4 linked regions of the Drosophila melanogaster genome follow. The protein of the gene in region 1 binds, or shares a complex with, the protein of each later gene. Each region holds a gene or a part of one and is shown in the gene's direction. Other genes may lie near its edges.

Evidence for each region.
Region 2: Mgtor (region 1) and Nup93-1 share a complex: the UniProt entries of both Drosophila melanogaster proteins name them as parts of the nuclear pore complex.
Region 3: Mgtor (region 1) and xmas share a complex: the UniProt entries of both Drosophila melanogaster proteins name them as parts of the nuclear pore complex.
Region 4: Mgtor (region 1) and Nup58 share a complex: the UniProt entries of both Drosophila melanogaster proteins name them as parts of the nuclear pore complex.

Annotation. Positions count from the first base shown.
Region 1 is NT_033778.4:11,850,799-11,856,021, forward strand, and holds the start of Mgtor (megator), read left to right. Parts: upstream 1-1,818; 5' UTR 1,819-1,957; coding exon 1,958-2,108; intron 2,109-2,549; coding exon 2,550-5,223. Other genes in the region: Sln (silnoon), read left to right, coding at 1-284, 361-487, 549-930. UniProt on the Drosophila melanogaster protein: Component of the nuclear pore complex (NPC), a complex required for the trafficking across the nuclear envelope. Functions as a scaffolding element in the nuclear phase of the NPC.
Region 2 is NC_004354.4:13,820,419-13,826,510, forward strand, and holds Nup93-1 (nucleoporin 93kD-1), read left to right. Parts: upstream 1-2,407; 5' UTR 2,408-2,508; coding exon 2,509-2,669; intron 2,670-2,732; coding exon 2,733-2,913; intron 2,914-2,992; coding exon 2,993-3,796; intron 3,797-3,869; coding exon 3,870-4,498; intron 4,499-4,582; coding exon 4,583-5,279; 3' UTR 5,280-5,492; downstream 5,493-6,092. Other genes in the region: Clic (chloride intracellular channel), read right to left, coding at 1,507-1,590; jub (ajuba LIM protein), read right to left, coding at 6,052-6,092. UniProt on the Drosophila melanogaster protein: Required for nuclear pore complex assembly, maintenance and function. Required for nuclear import of phosphorylated Mad via importin msk. Has no role in classical nuclear localization signal (cNLS)-dependent nuclear import via importin-beta.
Region 3 is NC_004354.4:17,155,726-17,161,223, reverse strand, and holds the start of xmas (xmas), read left to right. Parts: upstream 1-1,917; 5' UTR 1,918-2,009; coding exon 2,010-2,053; intron 2,054-2,117; coding exon 2,118-3,651; intron 3,652-3,711; coding exon 3,712-5,498. UniProt on the Drosophila melanogaster protein: Involved in mRNA export and mRNA coupled transcription activation.
Region 4 is NT_033777.3:19,642,752-19,647,664, forward strand, and holds Nup58 (nucleoporin 58kD), read left to right. Parts: upstream 1-2,274; 5' UTR 2,275-2,413; coding exon 2,414-3,337; intron 3,338-3,398; coding exon 3,399-4,115; 3' UTR 4,116-4,155; downstream 4,156-4,913. Other genes in the region: Vha13 (vacuolar H[+] ATPase 13kD subunit), read right to left, coding at 757-927, 987-1,087, 1,455-1,536; CG6195 (uncharacterized protein), read right to left, coding at 4,219-4,380, 4,462-4,913. UniProt on the Drosophila melanogaster protein: Component of the nuclear pore complex, a complex required for the trafficking across the nuclear membrane. Together with Nup54, required for transposable element silencing regulation in ovarian follicle cells.

The DNA of each region.
Region 1 (5,223 bases):
CAGTGATCTCAAGCAGCAGCCGGTGGAGCAGGCGGAGCTCGGCATTCTAGACTCCCAGCTGGTGGAGTCCATTATCGATGGCGACGGCCACCTTGCCGCCGATGAGGATGACGATGACGACGAAGAGCGGGGACCACGCACTTGCTGCGAGCGCATCGAGATGTACCTGGACATCAGTCTGCTGCAGGACCCGAGCTTTATCCTGATGTGCCTATCCGTCACCTTGATGTCCGTCGGCTGTCCCTACATGTTGTACTATCTGCCCGCCCACGTTATTTCAATAGGTATACTATTTAAAATGTTCAAAGTATATTCTTTCGGCGTACGATTTTAAATATTATAAACTTGGTTCATCTTTAGGATACAATAAAAGTGAGGCGGGATACCTGGTGGCCATCAGCGCGGTCCTAGATTTAATTGGGCGCCTTGGACTTGGCTGGCTGTGCGACCTGCAGCTATTCGATCGCAAGAAGACCTACACCTTGTGGTGAGTACCAGATAAGGTTTATTTTTCGATCCAAACTAATCACATTTCCCTATATCGACAGCATTTTGGGCGCCGGATGTGCCGTGCTCACAATTCCCTTCGCCAAGACTCTGGTTTTGGTGGGTCTATCGGCCGCTGTCTACGGACTTTGCCTGGGTAGCTGGTATGTACTTATGCCGGTCCTCCTTGCGGACGTCTTTGGCACGGACAGGATCAGCTCGAGCTACGGGCTGGTGAGGATGTTCCAGAGCATCGGGGCCATATCGGTGCCTCCGCTGGCAGGACTGATGCGAGACCTTTCCGGAGACTACGAGATATGCTTCTACTGCATGGGATCCTGCATGGTGCTCGGGACCACTCCGCTGATTGTGTGGTCCATCCTGGAGGCCCGCAACCATCGGTTGTTTGTTCAGCGCGAGGAGGAGGAGTGCGAGGAGGCCTAGAAATGATTCGGATTCGTTGGTTGCCCCATATGTTAATAGTGTTTTAGTAGCGATCAAATACTAGTTGAGTTCCTGAGTTTCAGAGTTCGAATGCCTCACCGATATTGCTGATTCTACCAGTTACTATTACTACTATCCGTACGTTCTCATCCGTATCTTTGTATCTTAATCAATCCCCATGCCCACCCGCACCCAATCGCTTGTTATCCTTCCGTTGAGCAACAGCAAAAGGATGTGTAAGATGATGATATTCAAACGAAGAAACCAAACAACCTAAACAACCAACAACTGAGCACCAAATGTTGCGCAAAAAGAACTGAGTTTAAAAGACATGAACTACAAATACCCGTATATAACTTTATAATATGATAACTACGATCAATGCCCGACTAGATGGTTATATAGGCCGACTATAGTTGTAGGTTCGCACATCCATATCGGAAAGGACTAAACTTTGTGCAGGAAAAATTAAGTGGCTTTAGACAGAAGGGAGGCTTGAATGGAGAACATCACATTACATTACCCTAGAATTAAAATAGTTGTTGTGAGACATTTACCCATAAAGACAATTACCAAATAAACACGAAATCAAAAGGTTAATCGCGTTTTATGGAATTAAAGGGAATGATTTCGCTTGGTTTGGGTTTTGCATTCGTTTATGTTATTAAATAAAGTCCTTTCTTTTTTTATTCGTAATAAAAACGGATTTTTCAACCACGTTTAAAAAATTTTTTTTATGAATGAATTTATCTCTTTTTAAAGAAAAACATTTTGTTTTATTAGGCTGTGAATAGGCTGTTATAACGCTGTTGAAACAGTGAGAATAATATACTCGAATCGATAGTACCGAAAAATATCGATATTGTTCCATCTCCACTGCATTGACGTTCATTTTTTCGCGTCCCTAAAGCGACTTTGTGCACAATTCGCAAAAAATTAAGACTAAAGTAAAGTAAAAAGTAAGAAAGTAAACTTCGCACCGCTCCATATAAATTTAACCGCTGCTTGACAAGGATCAACTGCGAACATGGATCTCAGTGGTCCACAAACTCTGAACAACATACTTCAGCCCGACGAGTTGAAACTCGTGCCGGAAGACGTCCAGAAGAAATTGTCGGAGTACATCAACAATTTCTCAGATGAGTACTGCAAGAACCGTGCGGCCGCCAATCGGTTGGGTAAGTTTTTATATTTGTATATATACTAAAATGCGCCATATTTTGCAAATAACCCTTTATTTGCATGCGTATGCTTTTACCTCCAACTTTGCGGCGTTTACCGGCTCAGATACCGCTTCTTGTAATAAGCAATCCGCGACTGTATGGTTTCTAGCGTGGTAAACACTCTTGCGCCATTTACATATTTTTTGTATAGAAATTTAAATATAAAATTCCGGGTTGTTGCAATTAAAAACAATGGCTGCTTGCAGCAACATTATTTTCCTTATTAATTTTCACCTCACCGGTGTGGTAACACTGGCCGGACATTTTCCCACCAAAACAGTTGATTAGTCCGAGTTTGAAATCTTCAGGGAATTTCTGTGTATTCATTTTAATCCAAATACTTTGTGGTTACTTAAATCCAGTTAAGAAGATTATTTATTTTTGCCCTTTTCACAGCCGAAGCCGAGCAAAAAAAGGAAGAGCTGGAGAACAAAATGGAGGACTATCTAGTAAAATTTACCAGCTTTGAGTTAAATGTAAACGAGCTGCGCACTCATCTAGATCAGATGTCTTCGGAACGAGTTAACCTAATGGACACGATCGCCAAAGGCGAGCAAACTATATCACAGTTGCGCAAGGAAAAGGCGTCGGTAGTTGAAGAACGCGATTCGATGATGAAGGTAATCGAGCGCCAACAAGCGGAGCTGGAACGATTGAAGCAGGATCTGCACACCTACCAGCAGCAGCTGAGCAGCGCGATTGCTGCCAAGTGCGAAGCCATTGCTCGCGTGGACGAAATTCAAAGTAAGGAAGTGGCTCTGGAGCTCAAAGAGAACCGCATGGAAAGCGAACGCGATATGCTGCACAAGGAGATTTTGTTAATCAGCGGAGATCTGAACAAAAGCAACGCCGAGTTACAGAACATCCGACGGGAGCACACAATAAACACCATGCAGCTACAGTCTTGCCTTAAAGAAAAGACCGAATCGCTAAAGCTGATGCAGGAACAGTACGAACAGGCCGTCAAGACCATCGGGGAACTAACCAGCAAGATTGAAATGCAAAACGACACCGCCTTCAAGCAGAACCAGGCCACGGAAGAGTATGTGGGGAAGCTGAAAAAGGAACTTGATGCCAAAGAGAAGCTTTTTGAAATCTTTAAGAGCACCGAATCCGATCATCTGATCCAACGGGAGGAACTCCTACAGGGCATCTCCGAAATTAAACGTTTGTTAGAGGAGGCCGAAGAGCAGTGCGCCCAGTTGACGGAGCAAATGGAAACCATGAAGCAAAAGCACAGCGCTGAGTTGGACGAGCAAAATAAGAAGATTCAGGCTATGGAACAGGAGCTAGCAAGTGCCAACGATTTGCTAAAACAGGCCCGGGAAAGTAATTTGGAAAGCGCCATATGCCAGTTGGCTCCCAGTGCGGCTGTGGCTAGTCGCCTTATCCGCTCCGATCTATCGCTTACCGAACTTTACTCCATGTACGCCAAAAGCAGCGAAGAACTGGAGATGCGAAACTGCGAAATTGAGCAGTTGAAGTTGCAGCTCAAGTCGATCATTGCTGAGATTTCAGAGAGTGCACCGATTTTGGAAAAACAGAACTCCGATTACCAAAAAATGAAGGAAACTAACAGTGAGCTCCTGCGGGAGCATGATGAATTATTACAAAATAAGCTATGCCTTGAGCGGGAATTGGAAAGGGCCTTATCTACCCTTAATCACAACCAAAATGAGAATAAGAAACTAAAACAGACACACACCGATCTCAGCCGACAGGTGTGCATGTTGCTGGACGAATTGAACTGCATAAGGGCTGGAGTGAAACATGTACGTATCCAACCAACTCGTCAGCTACCCACCAGCGAAAGTTTGATCAGCGATAACTTGGTAACCTTTAGTTCTATTGAAGAGTTGGTGGATAGAAATACATACCTCCTGAATATGTCCCGCGAGCTCACAGAACTTTTGGAGGCTAGCGAAAAGAACCAAGATAAGATGTTGCTGGAGCAGTCTAAGAATCACATAAGAAAACTGGATGCGCGTTTTGCCGAATTGGAGGATTTATTAACGCAAAAGAACAATACGGTTACTACACTACTATCCAAGTGCGACCGCTACAAGAAGTTATATTTCGCGGCTCAGAAGAAGCTCGGTCAAAATACTGTGGATCTGGACGACTCCAATCTGGAGCCTAACGACTCTGCACTGGATACTTCAGAGCAGCCGGCAGCCAATTTTGAGGAGAGCAGGAAACTGGAAAAGAGGGTGCGACAGCTGGAGCAACAGTTGGAAGGGGAGGTCAAGAAGTATGCCTCACTGAAAGAGAACTACGACTATTACACTAGCGAAAAGCGTAAAAACGATGCACTGGCCCAAGAACAGTTCGATTCTATGCGTAAGGAGGTGCGGGAGCTAACCAGCAGTAACTGCAAGCTTATGAACACCACCGAATTCCAGAAAGAGCAAATCGAACTACTTCACAAAAATATAGGCACCTACAAGCAGCAGGTGACTACATTGGAAGAGCGTACCAAGAACTATGAAAAGACCATTATTAAACACGAGCAAACCGTACATTTGCTCAAGGACGAAATGATGGCGGCACACCGCAAGCACGCAGCAGCCGATGCAGAGGCTCAAAGCCTTCGCCAAGAGAACCGCATTCTAAGGGACACATCTTCTAGACTGCAGATCGAAAAGGAGACTTATCACCGCGAGCAGCAGAGCCAATCACTGCTTCTAAACAGTTTGGAATTCATAAAGACCAACCTTGAGCGATCTGAGATGGAGGGTCGCCAGCGTTTAGAGCAGCGTTTAGATGACACTGTACGGGAACTGGCTGCTCAGCGTCGTCACTTCCAGGAGGAGGAGGAGAAGTTCCGTGAATCAATTAACGAGTTTAAGCGACAGGCGGAGACGGCCATCAAGTTGAAAGATGAAGAAAAGCAGCTGGCAGACAAGTGGCAAGCGGAGCTTACCAGCGTTCGCGAAGAACTTGCTGAGAAGGTCAACAAGGTCAATGAATTAAGCAAAAAACTTCAGGAAGTTCTGACGCCCACTCTAAATGACAACCCCATCACTGCAGCTAATAAACGAGCACGAGAGTTCGAACTTAAGCTGGACCA
Region 2 (6,092 bases), on another chromosome or scaffold:
TTACTCATGGGCAGACGACTCGAGGTGCGGTCTCCATTTGCGTGGGCTGGATGAGTGGCCAAGTTGAGTCGAGTCGAGTTTGCCAATAGAATCAACAACAGCAGGGCTCCAAAGTGTTCCGAAAACAATTACAATTACTTCGGCAAACAGTGGGAACCAACAAAAGAAACAAAATTAAGTGGACTCATGCTCGACTTACAATTCCGGGGAAAGAAATAGATTGCGGCCTCTACTATAATACAAAAAAAAAAACCAAAGGGTTCGTAATCTTTCTTTGACTCATTTTGCAATAATATCACCTTTAAGAAAGATGCCAATGAACAATTGTTTTATCACATGTTTTTTTTTCCACTATCGAAGAACAGAACTGATAAGAAAAGCGTTGTATTCGAGGAGAAAAAATCGAACAAGTTTTTATTATCGATTATTTGTAATACATAAAGAAATAAAACACTACATATTGAGCAATCTAAAGTTAAGTTCTATGATTTAAATTCATTTAATTAATCACACTTTAGGAATCTTGGCTTCTCAATGCTATTATCTTGACCGCAAATGTGCGGAGTGCTAGCTTTTTGTTTTCTTCGATTCTTTGGAGGAGCATGACGTATGTGTCAAGAAATTTAGAAATCACTAAAAGATAAAAAAGAACCTCTAATTCACACACACACACACAGAGAGAAACATGCTGATGGTTGCGAAGGGGGGCGATGCGGGGGGCTTAGGAGAACTATGATGAAGGAGCATTTGTTGAGCAATTGGCGCAATGAAATGTGATTAAATTTTTTAGCAGATAAGAACCGAAGTAATATGTTACGTTCCACAAATTTCAGACTGTGCGCACACAGCAATATCATGATTAATTGTTAATTATAAAATATTAAAAAGATATTTCATATGAACAGCTTGGTATGCTCGGATAATTTGGAAAAAGGGCGGCTTTAGAGTATTGCACCAAAAAGGTATGCTGTAATATTTAATTTGGATGCTTTATAATGGTAATCATGGAGTTCTGAAAATCATAACTCAATCAACAATTTCGTTCTGTGCAGATGTGCCCGAATGCATGTGTATGCGATAGTGTGCGTGCGTGTGTGTGTATGTGTGTGTGTATGTGTGTGTGAATGTGCGATAGGGAGAAAAGGAGAAAACCGGTTTTGGCGATGCTTAGGAACCGCAAGGCGAAAGGGGAACGTCGGCGAGAGGGGAGGGGGCGGTGTGTGCTAAACGTATTCTGTTCGTTTTAACCAAATGTGACACACTGCAAAGTGCCACAGTGAGAAGAAGAAGAAGAAGACAACGAAGAACGAACAGGGGTAAGAAGCCGAAAAGAGGGAGGAGGAGGAGAAACAAACGGCAGTTCGCGTTTTCCCAGTCGCTTCTTGTTTTTGCCTTTGTTTGCATTTGCTTCTGCTTTTGCCCCGGCTGCATTTTCACTCTGCACGGAAATTTGCGCAGAGCGAAATGGAAAACTGCAGGGGTATGCAAATGTCGCTGTTCGCTCACCTTTATGATCAATTCTATCTCGGGCACATCGAATTTACTGCTGCCGTTCGTCTCCTGGCTCTGCTGCGATTCAACTTCCGACATTGCGATATTGTTATTATTTTTATCGTTTATTCTCGATATCTCTGATCAGATCGAAGAGTTTTTTTCTTTATCCGCGTGACGAGGTGCGTGCGTGTTCGTTTCCTTTTCGCTTTTGTTGTGCTAATTTCCTTTGCCAATACACACACTCACGTACACAAGCTGTAACACACACAGGCAGCACACTCACACACACACAGAGAGACGGAGGGAAGAAGAAGCTCGCCTCGCAGTGTTTAAAAAAAATATGCCGTTCTGTTCTACGATTTGCGCGCTGCTAAAGTCTATTCACGATTGAATTGGTTAGCCGCTGAATAAACCAATCTGCACTGCGCGAAATACACTAACGCCTGCTGTTCAGTGTTACCAGACGGTCCTGCCTTTCGGCCGGCCTATAAATACCAAGCTAATACCAAATGTTTTTAAAGTTGTACTTACAACTCCCTCTCAATAACAGTTGTTATTGGGACATTTCAATAACAGATTGCGTAATACCAAAAATACCTTATACCTACAAAACTCCCATTTGTTCTCAATTTATTCCCCAATATATCGATATTCCATAAAAATTTTGAAATTTCGCGTTCGGGGAAATCGACTATTTTCTTTGTTTTTATAACAACTTTTAGGTATTGAGAAATAATTTCTTAGTCTGCTATCTATATAAATTTTTCAATTTAATGATTTTAATTATCAAATATTCCTTTTAAATTATATACCATCTGTAGACATTATTATAGTTATTCTAACATATAACAGTTGTACTATTAAATATACCAAAAAGAATACCACCGATTGCAAACATTTTATGGCGCCGAAATAATCCGGACTGCGACCAGGTGGCAGCACTAGCAGCTTGGTGTGCGCTTCGTTGGAAATATCATTTTATTGGCACCGGCTTTTCCATCCCAATATCACGACATGGATCTGATGGAACTGCTGAAGCAGGCCCAGCGCCTGACGAACGAGACCAATACGGACACGGAGGTGCCGGGCGTGGAACGGACCATGTCCCAGGTTCTGCAGGCAACCAAGGAGTTTCACTCGCGTGTCACCCAAATGGGCACCAATGATCTGCAGGCGTGAGTAGTTCGCTATAGGCCAGGCGCCAAAAATTGTCATATTAACCGGTCATTCAAATGCAGCCACATACTGCTCGGCTCTAAGGGCGTGGACCTGCCCAAGCTTACACAGAAGCTGGAGTCGCTCAGCGCCCGCCAAACCTTCGAGCCGATTGATCCGGTGACGGAGACCAATGTGCAGGCCTATCTGAAGAACGAGCGGGAGAACGCCATACTCTCAGTTATCGATGAGACGAATCGCAGTGTGAGTGCGCCAAATGACATGCTTCAGGCAGACACCCAAAATTCTGAACTTTCTATCTCCATTAACCAATCCATTGCAGATATTTAAATCTGTGGAGCGACAGAAGTGGCGTTGCATCTACTCGGAGTGGGGCGAGGAGAAGGAAGCGCTGCTAAACGCTCTGGTCGGACCAAACCAACAGGACTTCCCCGACGTCCAGTTTCAGATAGTGCCCACGGCCATGGCTGATGAGCCCACTCCGTACTCCCAACTGAATGGCCATGAGCAGATGTACGCTGAACAGATCGCCATCCACAACCAGTCGATCATCCTGGGCAGACGCCCTAACTTGCTGTCGACCCTTGCCCACGTGGTCCAAGACTCCTTCAACGATGAGTCCGTAGCCGAGATGTGGAATGTATTGCAGTTTATGACCGCGTTGCCGCCAGTCTCGAGCACCATCGATCCAATCAAGAATCGTCAGACATCACCGCAATTCGTTGAGCAGGCCCGCACGTACTTGGAGCGCAGATATAGGACGTATATGAGAAAGTTTATCGTCGCGAATTTGGCCAAAGCGCGGCGGGGAGGAATCCCCAGCGTGTACCATATGGTCCGCTCCTATGTGGGCGTTACTCTCCAGGGGCAGCGAGCCCTCTACGGGCTGCATGACGTGAACAATGGCCAGCCATTGTGGCCACATGTTTACTATAGCTTGCGGAGTGGCGATATGGACGCGGCTGCGTTGTATCTCAAGGAATCGGGAACCTGCCCCGACCTGCTTACGCTATTGACGTTGCGAAAGAACGGCGATAGGGACAACTTGATGGTAAAGCTTGAGGGTCAGCTAAAGTTGGAGTACAACAGTAGACTGCGCGCCTGTACGGATCCCTACAAAAAGGCGGTGAGTGCTCATCTTTTGCTACAACTTGTTGCGTATATTCGTGCTAATCATATGTTTTTCTCTTTTCCATTAGGTATACGTCGTATTGTTGGCGTGTGATCCGCACTTCACTCACGTAGAACTAATGCGCAGCATCGACGACTTCCTGTGGATGCAACTGTCCATTCTGCGCAGGTCGGACCAAAGCGACAGCAACACGGAGCAGCTAACGTTCAGCGGCCTGCAATCGCTCATTTTAGAAAAGTACGGCGAGAACTACTTCAATGCGCGCGAGAAGGCGGCGCTATACTTCCAGGTGCTGACGCTTACCGGCCAATTTGAGGCCGCCATTGAATTCCTCGCCCGCACCGAGAAAAATCGAACGCACGCTATCCACATGGCCATTGCCCTAAACGAGATATCCATGCTGGGAACACCACGTTCCGTGGAACAATCCCTTCTGAGCTCCGACCCTGACGACCCAAAACCAATGAAACGACTCAATCTTGTGCGTCTGATCGTCATGTACACCAAGTGCTTTGAGAGAACGGACACCACGCAGGCGCTGCATTACTATTACCTGTTGCGCAACTTTAAATCCGAGAACGGACGCGGCAACGTGATGCTCACCTGCGTCTGCGATCTGCTAGTTGAGAAATGCGACGACGAAATGCTAGAGCTGATTTTCGGGACGGAGGATAAGAAAAACGGCTTGCGCTATGGGTATGTTACGTTTTTGGTACTCTTAAAAGATTTCAAAATCCTTTTGGCAAATAGCTAATGGTTTATTCATTCCCCTTTATTTAGCGGCATATATGCGGAATTTCAAATTCATGAATGCGATAAGTACTCTCTGGCCGAAATGGTGGGCGATGAGTTGTCGAAACGCGGCGACTACGAATTGGCCATCGAGCTCTACTTTATTGGTGGCCAGCTGGACAAGGCACTGCGTTTGGTGAACTCGCTACTGGCACAGGTGGTCCACCAACCAACGCAGAATGGAAGCGTGCGTAACCGGCTGGGCGATATTATCAATCGACTAGATGCGGCGCTGGTCGTGCGTAAATCGGACGTAGAGGTTCAAGTTGTTGTCACATATACGGTGCTGACAAAGGTCATGAAGTTCTTTGACCACTATCACGAAGGCGCATTGCGTTCGGCATTAGAAATCCTGACCAACAATCATCTGATACCCGCCAGCTCATTGGAAGTGGACGAGTGTGTGACGAACATAAAGCGGATGGGTCCCGAGGTCATTAAAGTGCTGCCCGATATCCTGCTGGCGTCCATGGACATTGTATACCAGGAGTATGTGAAGCTAATGGACTCGAATGAAACAGCTTCCGGTTTCTTTGATGAAAGCAAGTGCGTCAATAAGGAGCCCGCCGTGAAACATTTGCGAGACAGGGCCAAGGCATTCACCAACATGGCTGCCAGCGTTCCATACCGAATGCCATCGACCACCAACCAGCGGCTCGTCCAGCTGGAGATCCTTATGCACTAACATTAGCCAGATTAATACCTAGTTATCGTTTATATGCATTTCATTCAGTTCGTTTAAAATTTTATTGATGATTATATTTTTTTCTTTCCAATAATTTTATTGGAATTTTTCTGTTAAGCGCAACGCATTTAAAGCATTAAGCATTCGAAAAATTTAAAAGAAAATATTTTGTATGTATGTGTTATAAGAAAACTAAACAAAATTCAAAATGTCACACGTATATGTTAATTACTCACGGTTTAGGCAAACAATTAAAATTTTGCATTTTCGCTACTTAATAACCGAATGTATGGTATGTATCACAACAAGCCACTAACCCACTGGAATATCCACAAAAGACTTTCAGATAAGAAGTATTAAGTATTTTATTGCATAATTTGAGACACCGTTTGCTATTGCATTGAAACCTCAAGAGGTCTCAGGAACACCCCAGGACATACATATGAAGAACACATCAATATACTTGTATCAAAATAGTATTGCCAACAATGGCTGCCAACTGTCGGAGATTTTAGGAATCCATTACATAGTTTCTAACAGATCCGTTTCGAGATCCTAGTACACTGCCATAAAAATGAAGAAAAAAAAAAGCCATTAGCTTGGCCCTCGTTTCGTATAAATGCATTTGTTTTCACTTCTGTCTATTTAAGATAATATTGTTAATTGGAATAAGTTGATTGCGATAGTTTGTTCTGGTTTTGTGCGCCACTCAGTCGAAGGTCGGAAGGTCGGTCTGCGCCGCGCCGCCTCTCCCAGCCACACTCCGTTCCGCTTATCCCATATACTGGTACGAAGCGCAGACGGGCTCCTGAT
Region 3 (5,498 bases), on another chromosome or scaffold:
CTATATCATATATATCAGGTATATCCCCTTACCTTGCCGGCCGCCTTGATGTAGCGTCGCGTGGCCTCCTTGACGAGATCGCGGACGAGGAGTTCGCCGGAACCACAGGGAACCAGAATGCGAACGTCGCCGAAGCAGACGGTGACCTTCATTTCGTACTTTTCGTGTTAACAATAACTATTATCGTCTTCGATCTGCGATAATAAGTATGTATTTTTGACTGCTGCAATGCACTTTTTATTTTGCACACACATATATGCACTTGATTAAATTGGGCGATCGTTTCTTTAACTTATTTTTTTCTCGAATTTTTCGGATTTTTTCCTATTACTATTTTGTATGCAGCTACTTTTTTTTAACGCTATGCTCGTCTGCCTGCAGCAGCTTTTTGTTGTTCTTGTTGCTGTTGTTGTTACGACCGCATCATCATCATCGTCGTCGCTTTCCAGCTATCGCCATCCTTGTTGCTCCTTTCGCGTGCACAGTGCGCTTGTTGTTGCTGTATTGTTGGTTGTTAGGCAGCTGCAACAAAAGTTGGTCTAGGGCGGCATGGGTGCGAGCGAGATGGCTGCGTGCCTGGAAAAAGGATCGGGATCGCTTTCCAGTATGTACTTGTAGTCGCTCTCGCGCGCTCTCCCTCTCTGTCGCTCTCTGGAAACTGGAACTCTCTTTTGCTATTTACTTAGCATATTTCACCGTAAGGCATCGTTGTTATTGTTTGTTTTGTTGTGTTTGTGTGATTCATACACGCGCGCATTAAAAAAAACGAGTTACAACAACGGCAACCATAATAACAAGAACAACAAACAGCGGGCCAAGATCATTTATTTACTTCTTTTTTTAACGTTCTTCGCTCTCGCTCGCAAACTTGGCATTTGTTTTGGTCAAATTATTATATATTATGCGCTGTAGATTGCATGGTTTTAAATTTACGGTTCGATCATCGTTTTTATATCTTTTCTGTTACTCTCTTTTAACGTTGCTTTTGTCGTGTTTTTCGTTTTCGGTTATCTCCTTTTTCGCCCGTTGGCGTCGCTTCTTTCTTGTTGTTTATCACTTTCAACTATTCATATTTCGATTGCAAGTGGAATAGTATCGTTGACCGCCACTCTTATTAACGAACTATTTGAACTCAAAAAAATGCAAAAAAAATCCACGAGCAGCGCGTTGATTACTGCGCTTCGAGTTCGAATTCGCCCTGGCGAGCAACAACAAATGACCAAAATTCTGGGGATGGCAGGCTCATCGATACTATCGGAACAGCAGCTTGGCTTCTTCGCGGTATTTGGTTATACTTTACTGGGCGGTCACACTACTGCTCGTTATCTCCCGCTTATTTTAAAATCAGGGATTGGGCTAAATGCCATCTAATTCTGCAATAAGTTTTATTGAATTTGCATTGCTTTATATAAGTCAGCCTATTAAATAGAGATATTGATTAAGAGGTAATTAATCGTCTTAAAATATTAAAGTGTAAAGATGAAAATATTTCTTATGTAAGCTATGTATAAATATAAAATACTAGGAACAACCAATTTCGATAGGATTAATTGTATAGTCCTAAGAACGACAGATAGTGTTATCAAGATCGAGGAGTTTGAATCGAGAGCTTAAAAGAGAATAAAAAGAACTTAAAAAGATTGCTACACCTATATATATATTCATATATATATAAGATAATATAAGAAGATGTTCGATTTCATTCAACAGTTTAAGGAACGCCCCAAGCATTTCCTAATTTCCTAAGAATATATGTTTACCAACTCCTGTTAACATTTTATTTATTAGGCAAATACATTCATCTCGAATGTAAAACATTAAAATTTTCAATTAAACCTGAACGATATTGTGTGGGTGGGATAGCCATTGCGGTATTTTTTTCGCGCCATTTTCAGATTTGCGTTATCGATTACCGGCAATCGCTTGACGGCAATATTGTAACAACAAAGCACACATTCGCTCTCATTCAGCTAAAAAAGAAACTAAAAACCTTAAACTATATTCGATCGATGGCAGAACCCCGTCCCGGCGGCTACAACTACAAGACATTATTGTGAGTAAAAGTTCGTTCATCAAAGGCAGAGCGATGTCAACTATAGTTCCATACGAATCCCCAGATGCAGAAACATTCCGGAGCTATTTTTGGACAAATATGTGGCGCGTTCGCACTTTGGACGTTTTGGAACCCTCGTAAACTTCGTCCTGCGTCCGCGGCGAATGACCTGCACCGTAAGCTATGCCAGCGAGGACGAGGCGGCGCGGGCGCTTCTCGATGGCGCCAGCTTTCAGGGTCACCTGTTTGATATATCCTATGCTGATAACGAGACGGCGCCGGCACAGAAAACGGAGGAGTGGGTGGATCCTGACATTCAGGCGGAGTTGAGTGCACTGCAGTCGGGCTGGCGCAATGAGTATGGGTCGGGCAAGCCGATAAAAAAACCACAAAATGGCAGCAGTGGTAGCGGTGGCAGTTCAATGCTGCCTGCCATACCAGTTGGGCCCGCAACGGCGCCGGTGAGCAGAGATCGTACGCCTGCCCAGCTCAGGGATCTTGAGAACATGATGCGCAGACCCGCCCATACAAGCGAGGAGAAGTTCAGCGTGCTGGATGCCCGCGATAAGCTGCTCCGGTTGAACCGAACGCAACACAAGCTGTCCGGTGCCACCCAGGGTCACTGCGCCGATATGTGTCCGGAAAAGGAGCGCGTGCTGAGAGAATTCCAGCGCCAGGTAGCCTACTATGAACTACAACCGGGCTCCGATGAGCTAATCTGTCACGAAAGAGCCCTGAAGCAGTACTCGCGCAGCAGTGCCGACCAGGAGACGCCACTGCCGCATGAACTGCGCAATGAGACTGCCCTGCACATGACCATGAGCTATCTAATGCATGAGATCATGGACATTAGCGAGCGCCAGGATCCGCAAAGCCATATGGGCGATTGGTTCCACTTCGTTTGGGATCGCACGAGGTCCATCCGAAAGGAGATCACCCAGCAGGAGCTATGCTCTCTGGGCGCTGTGAAGCTGGTGGAGCAGTGCGCCCGGTTTCACATTCATTGCGCCGCCCGTCTGGTTGACGCCGATCCCAGCGTCTTTGACAGCAAGATCAACGCCGAGAATCTAACCAAATGCCTGCAGACTCTGAAGTACATGTACCATGACCTGCGGATTAAGGGCGTTCCATGTCCCAAAGAGGCGGAATTCCGGGGCTACATTGTGTTGCTCAATCTGGCCGATGCCAACTTTCTCTGGGACATCGGTCAGCTGCCCGCGGAACTGCAGAGTTGTCCCGAAGTGCGTCAAGCCATTCAGTTCTACTTGGCCCTGCAGGACACGAATTTTGTGCGGTTCTTTCAGCTGCTGGCTGACAAGGATACCAGCTACCTGAGTGCCTGCATCCTAGTCAATTACTTTACGCGACTGCGCGTGCTGGGGTTGCATCGTCTGATCCAGGCGTATAGGTCTCCGCGGAAGGATGAGGTGTCTTCGCTGCCTCTCAGCTACATCGCCGAGCTGCTGAGCTTTGCCAGCGAACAGGAGGCGGCGGATTTTGTCCAACACTATGGCCTGCAGATCAACGAGGCGGGCAGAGTTGTGCTAAGCAGAATGCACACGGTGGAGACGGAGTACAAGCTGCCGCGACAGTATGAGGTAAGTAAATGGTTTTCTTTTTTTTGTTTTATTAATTTGATTTTTATTATCCACTTCCAGTTGGTGGAAGTGAAACGCGTGAAGAGCGTGGGCGAAGTCGTCAGTGGGGAACCTTTACCACCACGAGACCTCTACCTCAATCACCGACCGCACAATAGCTTCGACGATTATGGAATGCTTAAGAGCATTGCATGGACGGCCAAGGATCAGCTGGCTGGCATGCAGCAAGAGGAGATGCAGCCACAAATGCCTTCGCAGCCACCAGCAGTCTCAAAACATAGCGATACTTTGTTTAAGGTGCCCATGCAACCCGACGGAACGGCAGCAGGGTTTGGAGTATTTGCTGCGGCTGCTGTTCCGCCAGCCTCCTCCATCGATGGATTCAGTTTTGTTCTTCCCAAATCACGTGCTCAGGAGTTCCAGGAACAAGCTCCGGCTACACAGCAGCGACGGGCACAAGAAGAGGCCAAGCATCAGGCCCTCCAAGTAGCCATTGCCGCTGCAAAGAAGCGGGAAGCTGAGCTAATGGCTATTCACGAGGCCAAAGTGGCCGAGGCTGAGCGAGTGCGTCAGCAGAAACTCAGGGAACGCCAGGAGCAGCAGCGTCGCCAGCAGCAGGAACTGGAGGAACAACGCCAGCGGGAGCAGGAGAAACTTCAGCTGGAAAAAGAGAGGCAACTGAAACTGGAACAGTTGTTTTTTGTGCAGCAGCAGGAAAGGGAGGCCCACAAACAGACCAGGACTTTGGAGTTGTATCAGGAAATATTCCAGGACACCCTCGCGGAGATTTGCCAAAGCGAGTTTATGTCGCATAGTCGGGCTTGCCGTTCCTACGAATCCATGCTGGACTCAATAACACGCGATCTCGTCGAGCGGCAGATGGAGCAATCCATCTACGAACTAGGCGTCATGAGGGTGTGCATCAGACGATGGCGGAAATATCGGCGAACGCAACAGGAGAAGGACACGCTATTTAACCAACTGCCTTTAAGTTTTGGAGCCGAAAACCCCGAAGGAGTGGTGAACAAACGAAGCATGGAAGATTCACTGCGTCTAAGCAGACGCTATCGACTTGGCGAGCCCTGCGATTATGGCAAACTTCTGGCTGGCCTGGAGGAGCATAGTTGGCTGAAACTGGATCTGTGGCACGTTTTGGACAAGTGTCTGCCGGTAGCGCAACCAGGAGCTAGACGCTTCTACAAGCTATTGATAAGCCTGTCCGGCGGCCAGGAGGGTCTCCAGTTGAACTGCGATTTGGATAGGGGACTACTGCAGCAGCCACAGTCGCCGGATGCTCGTTTTGTGGATGGAGGCTACATCAGAGGCTTCTCTCAGGGTATTGGCTTGAGTGTGATGAAGATCCGAGATGATGACCACGACTGGAAAGCCACCGACCTGGCCGAAGCCAATGGTATTATTTGCTTAATCGGGCTGGATGACATTCGTTTACTGCCGGATCGCTTGAAACCATTGCTGCAAGCAAGCCGCTGTCATGATGTGGCTGTAATTGTTCAGCATCCAGCTAATACCGCCTTTGTTCAACCTGATATTCCTCTCCAGGAACTATGTCTGCGCTCATTTAACATCTTTCGTTTGCGAAAATCTGGAAACAACCGCCAGCGCTTAATGATTGCACTGGAATCGGCTGTAAAGTTTTTGGCCAAAGCCACGGAAAGGAAACGTGTTGGACATCTTCACCAAGTGGAGACCCGCGAGTATTTGCTCGTTAATCTGGGATCGGAACTATTTCGCCGCCTAAAATACGCCGCTGAGCACGATACGGCCATTAGAAGCGACACTCAGCTGAATCCACAGCGTTGTGTGGACCTTTTTAACGAGGCAGTGCA
Region 4 (4,913 bases), on another chromosome or scaffold:
GGTTCTCGATAATATATCGATAACTGAGCGCGCAGCTTAAAAGTGGTAAGCTTGATAACAACTCAAAGTTGGACAGATTCAATGAGTTCGTAATTATCTGCGGAACTGGAATATAATGTTATCAAATTATATTTTTGTCGTATTGTGTTGGTTAGAGTACAACGGTAATCAATTTCCAAGCATATGTCAATCGTACTACTTAGGGAAACCATTTGGTTGTTAGACGATTGCCTGAGACAACAATCCATTAAAAGAGAAAACATAAAATTGCTTTACATTGTACATTTTATTTTATGCCGAGTCTATACACTATATAATTAAGCGGATTAATCTTAAAATTGAATTTTTTAAGCACCCAGAGGCGTGACTATCGCCATCGCCAGTGTTGAGCACCGATGAAATGAACTCGCCGCAAAAATCTTATCACGCAGCAGCTGACTGCAGTGCAGATATGAAAAATGCGAGCAGGAAGAAAGTGAGGAAAACAATTGAAACACATGACTTTTCGGATAAAACAACAACGTGTATTGGGCAGAACACAAAACAATGATAATACAATCCCGCGCGAGTGGGAGGCAAACTAATATGCTCGCTTTTTTCTACATGGAACAACAACGAATTTTCACTTTAATGTATGGAATAATAATACAGCAGTGTTTCCAGTTAGATTAACCACTATTATTACGGGTCTAAATTATGGATTAGAGTTGAACGTGGACATTGAATTTACAGCGCACAGTTTGGGGGGCCACCTCTTTACTTGTGGTTGTAGTTTTTGTGCACCTCGGGCGAGATGTTGTACACGTACTGCAGGATCTCCAGGATGAACGGGTCCTTGCGGGTCTGGATGGCCCGGTCCATGTCGGCCAGCTTAACGCGGATATCCGCATCGATCTTGGCCGCCACGCCCTCGCGACTGCCCATGTGCTGTAATCGGGGTTCACACGGTATTACATGTACATAAGTTTCCCTATGTGGCGTCTTACCTTGGCCTCGAACTCCTTGAAGGCGCGCTCGCGCTCCTGGCGGAACTTCTCGATCTCCTCGGTAGCCTCGTCCTTGGCTTGCTTCAACCTCCTTGCCTTGCCTGCGGGATTACCCAGAAATCCAGATGATCATATCAGTTCAACTTGGCAAATCAGCCCTCCGCAAGATGACCTTCCATAACTTAAAGTGCCAACTCGCACAAAAACTATTTACTGCACTTAAGTTGCAGTCTTAGTGGCCACAAACAATTTTAATTTAATTTAATTTAATTTAATTTAGTTTAATTTGATTTATATCTCGAGTTATGGAGGATTGACTTGTATTTACTTTTTTCCACCACATCATGTGACCCACACACAACGGTGATGGTGGTTATGGTAGCACGGGGGCGGGGTGGTGAAAAAATCGCAGTTACTTGTCGCCCTGCCATTTCCAATTGGATTTTTGTTTCTGAAAATGAAACTTACGTTTACGAGCCTCGGCGACCTTCTCGGCTGCCTTTTTCTCGGCAGCGAGCAACTGCTGGATTCCCTGCGTCTGGCTGGCCATAATTTCCAAACTTCTCTAATTCCTCGCCGTGGTGTATACTGTGCAAGTCGAAAAAAGCAAGTGCGACAGAATCACAATCGACGACGAACTGTGAAAAATGTCATATGACGAAGTCACACACACGCAAACTCACCACGGTGGCTAGTTGGTGTGGGTAAGCAGTGTGCCGGAAAGCTGGGTGCTGCGAAACTCTTGGAGATGGCTCGGTCGATTGCATATCGATTAGCTTAGTTGTATATTATTGTTTGGTATTGTATTGGCCAGAAGTATTAAATAATTTGACGTTTTTGTAAGCATTAACTTTCTCATTTATTCCCATCATGAATATTTTTCTTTTATAATTTTGTAAACTTTAATTCATTTTAATTTAAATGCAGCGTTTAATCTGCTTCGCACTGTAATAGTTCCGGCTGTATTTAAAGCTATTGTAAGAAATTAGTTCGTAAAAAATTCTTTATATTATTTTAAAATTGAAATACATAAAGATTAAATTTTGAAATAATTTATTCATATTAATATCTGAAGGCTATCGTTTGATATTAAATAACAACCATGTTGTAGTGGACCGAACTCACCACACCTCAGACCAAAATTAAATATTTGAAAATCACAAATCGTAACTATATGAAGCTGCAAATACTTTATATATCTTTAGCCATAGTGTATTTATTTCAATCAATTTGAATACTTTGTTGATATTTTTCCGAATAAATCTCTGCTGACTAGCTATCGATATCACCGATAGTGTCATCTCTGTCCTAGAAGTTAAACCACAGATGCTCAGGCATTAAACAAAATTAATTTCGAAATTTGTTGCAGTAAATATAGTTTAATTGTTTAAAATTCCTGTATAAATCCTTAAGAGGGGTGCCTAAAGATGTTTACGCCCACCACGAACAACGCCATTGGAGGCGCCACTGCTGCTACCGGCGCTTTTGCTTTTGGCGCGCGACCGGCGACGACGACTGCTCCGCCTCCATCCTTTGGAGCAGCCACCTCTACGCCAACCTTCGGTGCTGCTCCGGCCACCACCTCCTTGTTTGCAGCTCCCGCGGCCACACCGGCCTTTGGGGCACCAGCTGCTACGCCGGCTTTTGGAGCACCTGCGTCCACGCCTGGTTTTGGCGCCACTTCCACTGCGGCGCCGGCTTTTGGAACGGCTGCTGCCACGCCCGCTTTTGGCATACCAGCAGCAACGTCGGCTTTTGGAGCTCCAGCTGCTACGCCCGCTTTTGGAGCTGCAGCTGCCACTCCCGCTTTCGGAGCACCCGCCGCCACGCCCGCTTTTGGAGCACCCGCCGCTACATCCGCCTTTGGAGCACCAGCAGCCACAACGGCGTTTGGAGCGCCAGCTTCCACGCAAGCATCGGCCTTCGGAGCACCTGCACCAGCCGTGGGCACTGTGGCTCCCACTTTCTCCTTTGCCACCCCGGCCACAAGTGCGCCGACCACCGCGCCGCCGGCCTTTGGATTCGGCACCACCGCCACAACGGCGGCAGCTGCGATGCCAGCATCCCTCAGCTCCGGAATTGGATCGTTTTCCTTCCCCAAGCCACAGGCCACCACGGCGGCCAGCTTGAACTTTAACACAACCACGACGACGGCGACGGCACAACCCTTCAACACGGGTCTGAAACTGGGAACCACCAATGCGACGACAACCCTAGGAGGAGGAGGAATCTTTAGCAAGCCAGCGGGTCAGGCAGCTGCCCCGGCAGCATCGACTTTCGTGGGTCTGGGGGGGATCGATGTGACCGCCACGCAACCAAAGCTGGGGGACAATAAGCAAGATGGCATCAAGGTGCTGACCATGAGTCTTTCACAGAGAAACAAAATAATCATTTTATTTTCGACCACTCCAGATTAAGGAAACCCAAGTGCCCGACGAGATAATAAAAACGGTGGATGGCCTAAAAGCGTATATCAAACAGCAGAAGACCATCTCCTCTGACATTGGACGGACATCCACCTCCAAATTCACGAATGTCAGCCACGAGATCACGAACTTGAAATGGGCGCTGCAGAATATGGCCACTTTAGTTGAGGGCAGCAATCAGCAGATCCGCCTGATGCGCCAAGAGACCGTCAAGGCGATTCAATCTCTGGAGATGGCCCAACGCACGCAGGACACCCCAGCCGGCCTGCAGTTCGAGAACAATGCTCCGTTCCAGTACTTTCAGTGCCTGGTGGCGAAGTACGAGCAGGATTTGATCGCCTTTCGCCAGCAGATCGCTCTGACCGAGCGCCACATGCACGCGATCTCGAATCCGCAGAGTATTTCGCCGGATGATCTAAAGCGTGGCTTTCGCCAACTTAATGAGAGTTTCATCTCGCTGGCGGGACGCCTCCACGAGGTGCATCAGCGGGTGGAGGAGCACAAGGAGCACTACCTAAACCTCAGACGCTACCGCCTGCGAGACACCACCAACGTTTTCGAGCGGATTGACAATCCTCCGCTGCCGACGGTGGAACCTCAACGGATTAGTAGCGGTCCAACGCCCTTCTCCAACATCTCGGCTCTGATGAACAAGTCCTATGCAGCGGCGGCCAGTTCCGCCAGCAATGCGACAGGCAATTGAGAATGGCACTCTTTACAAGTTTCAATAAATCGTTATGTCGAAAGGGGCCTAGACTTTCACTTTCAGTTATAGCATAGAATATATATTTCACACGCAACAATCTTTATTTCTTCACCACCTGGATGACGTCCTCGTCGGCCATCACATGGGCAATCCCCACGCGCTGCGGCGAGTATTTCGTGGAGGTGCCCCACACCAGGGCATACTTGAACTGCGCCGCCAGCGTGCGATGGATGGCATGGCACACATGCTCCACACTGACGCCCTAAACAAGGAATATATAAGGAATTAGAGTTGCTTTACCAGGCTGAAGAAGGAATTGGATGAATGGAAAACAGTCTCTTGCCTTTCTCAGAATCAATCCATCGTCAAAGTCTGGAGGAGCGCCTGGCTTCTTTGTGTACACTCTGATGAGCTGGAGAGCTTCCCAGAGCGCCTCCATCATGTAGTCCAGATTAAGTTTCATGTTGCAACTAACCACTATCGAGTTTGGCTGGCGCGCCAAGCGGTCCACCTCCTCGATGGAGATCTGATCGATCTTGTTGTAGACATACAGACAGGGCAGATACACACGGTTGGCGGTGACCACGTCGATGAACTCGTCCTCGGTGCAGTCTTCGCGGAAGAGCACCTCGGCGTTGAAGATCTTGAAGGAGTGCAGGATGGTCTGGACCATTTTCTCGTTGCAGCGCGTAAGGGAACAGGTGGCGTTGAAGCTCAGGCCGCCGCCCTTCTTCTGCTTGAAGTAGATGTTGGGCTTGCGCTTGTTCAGACGAATGCCCACGCTCTCCAGCTCTC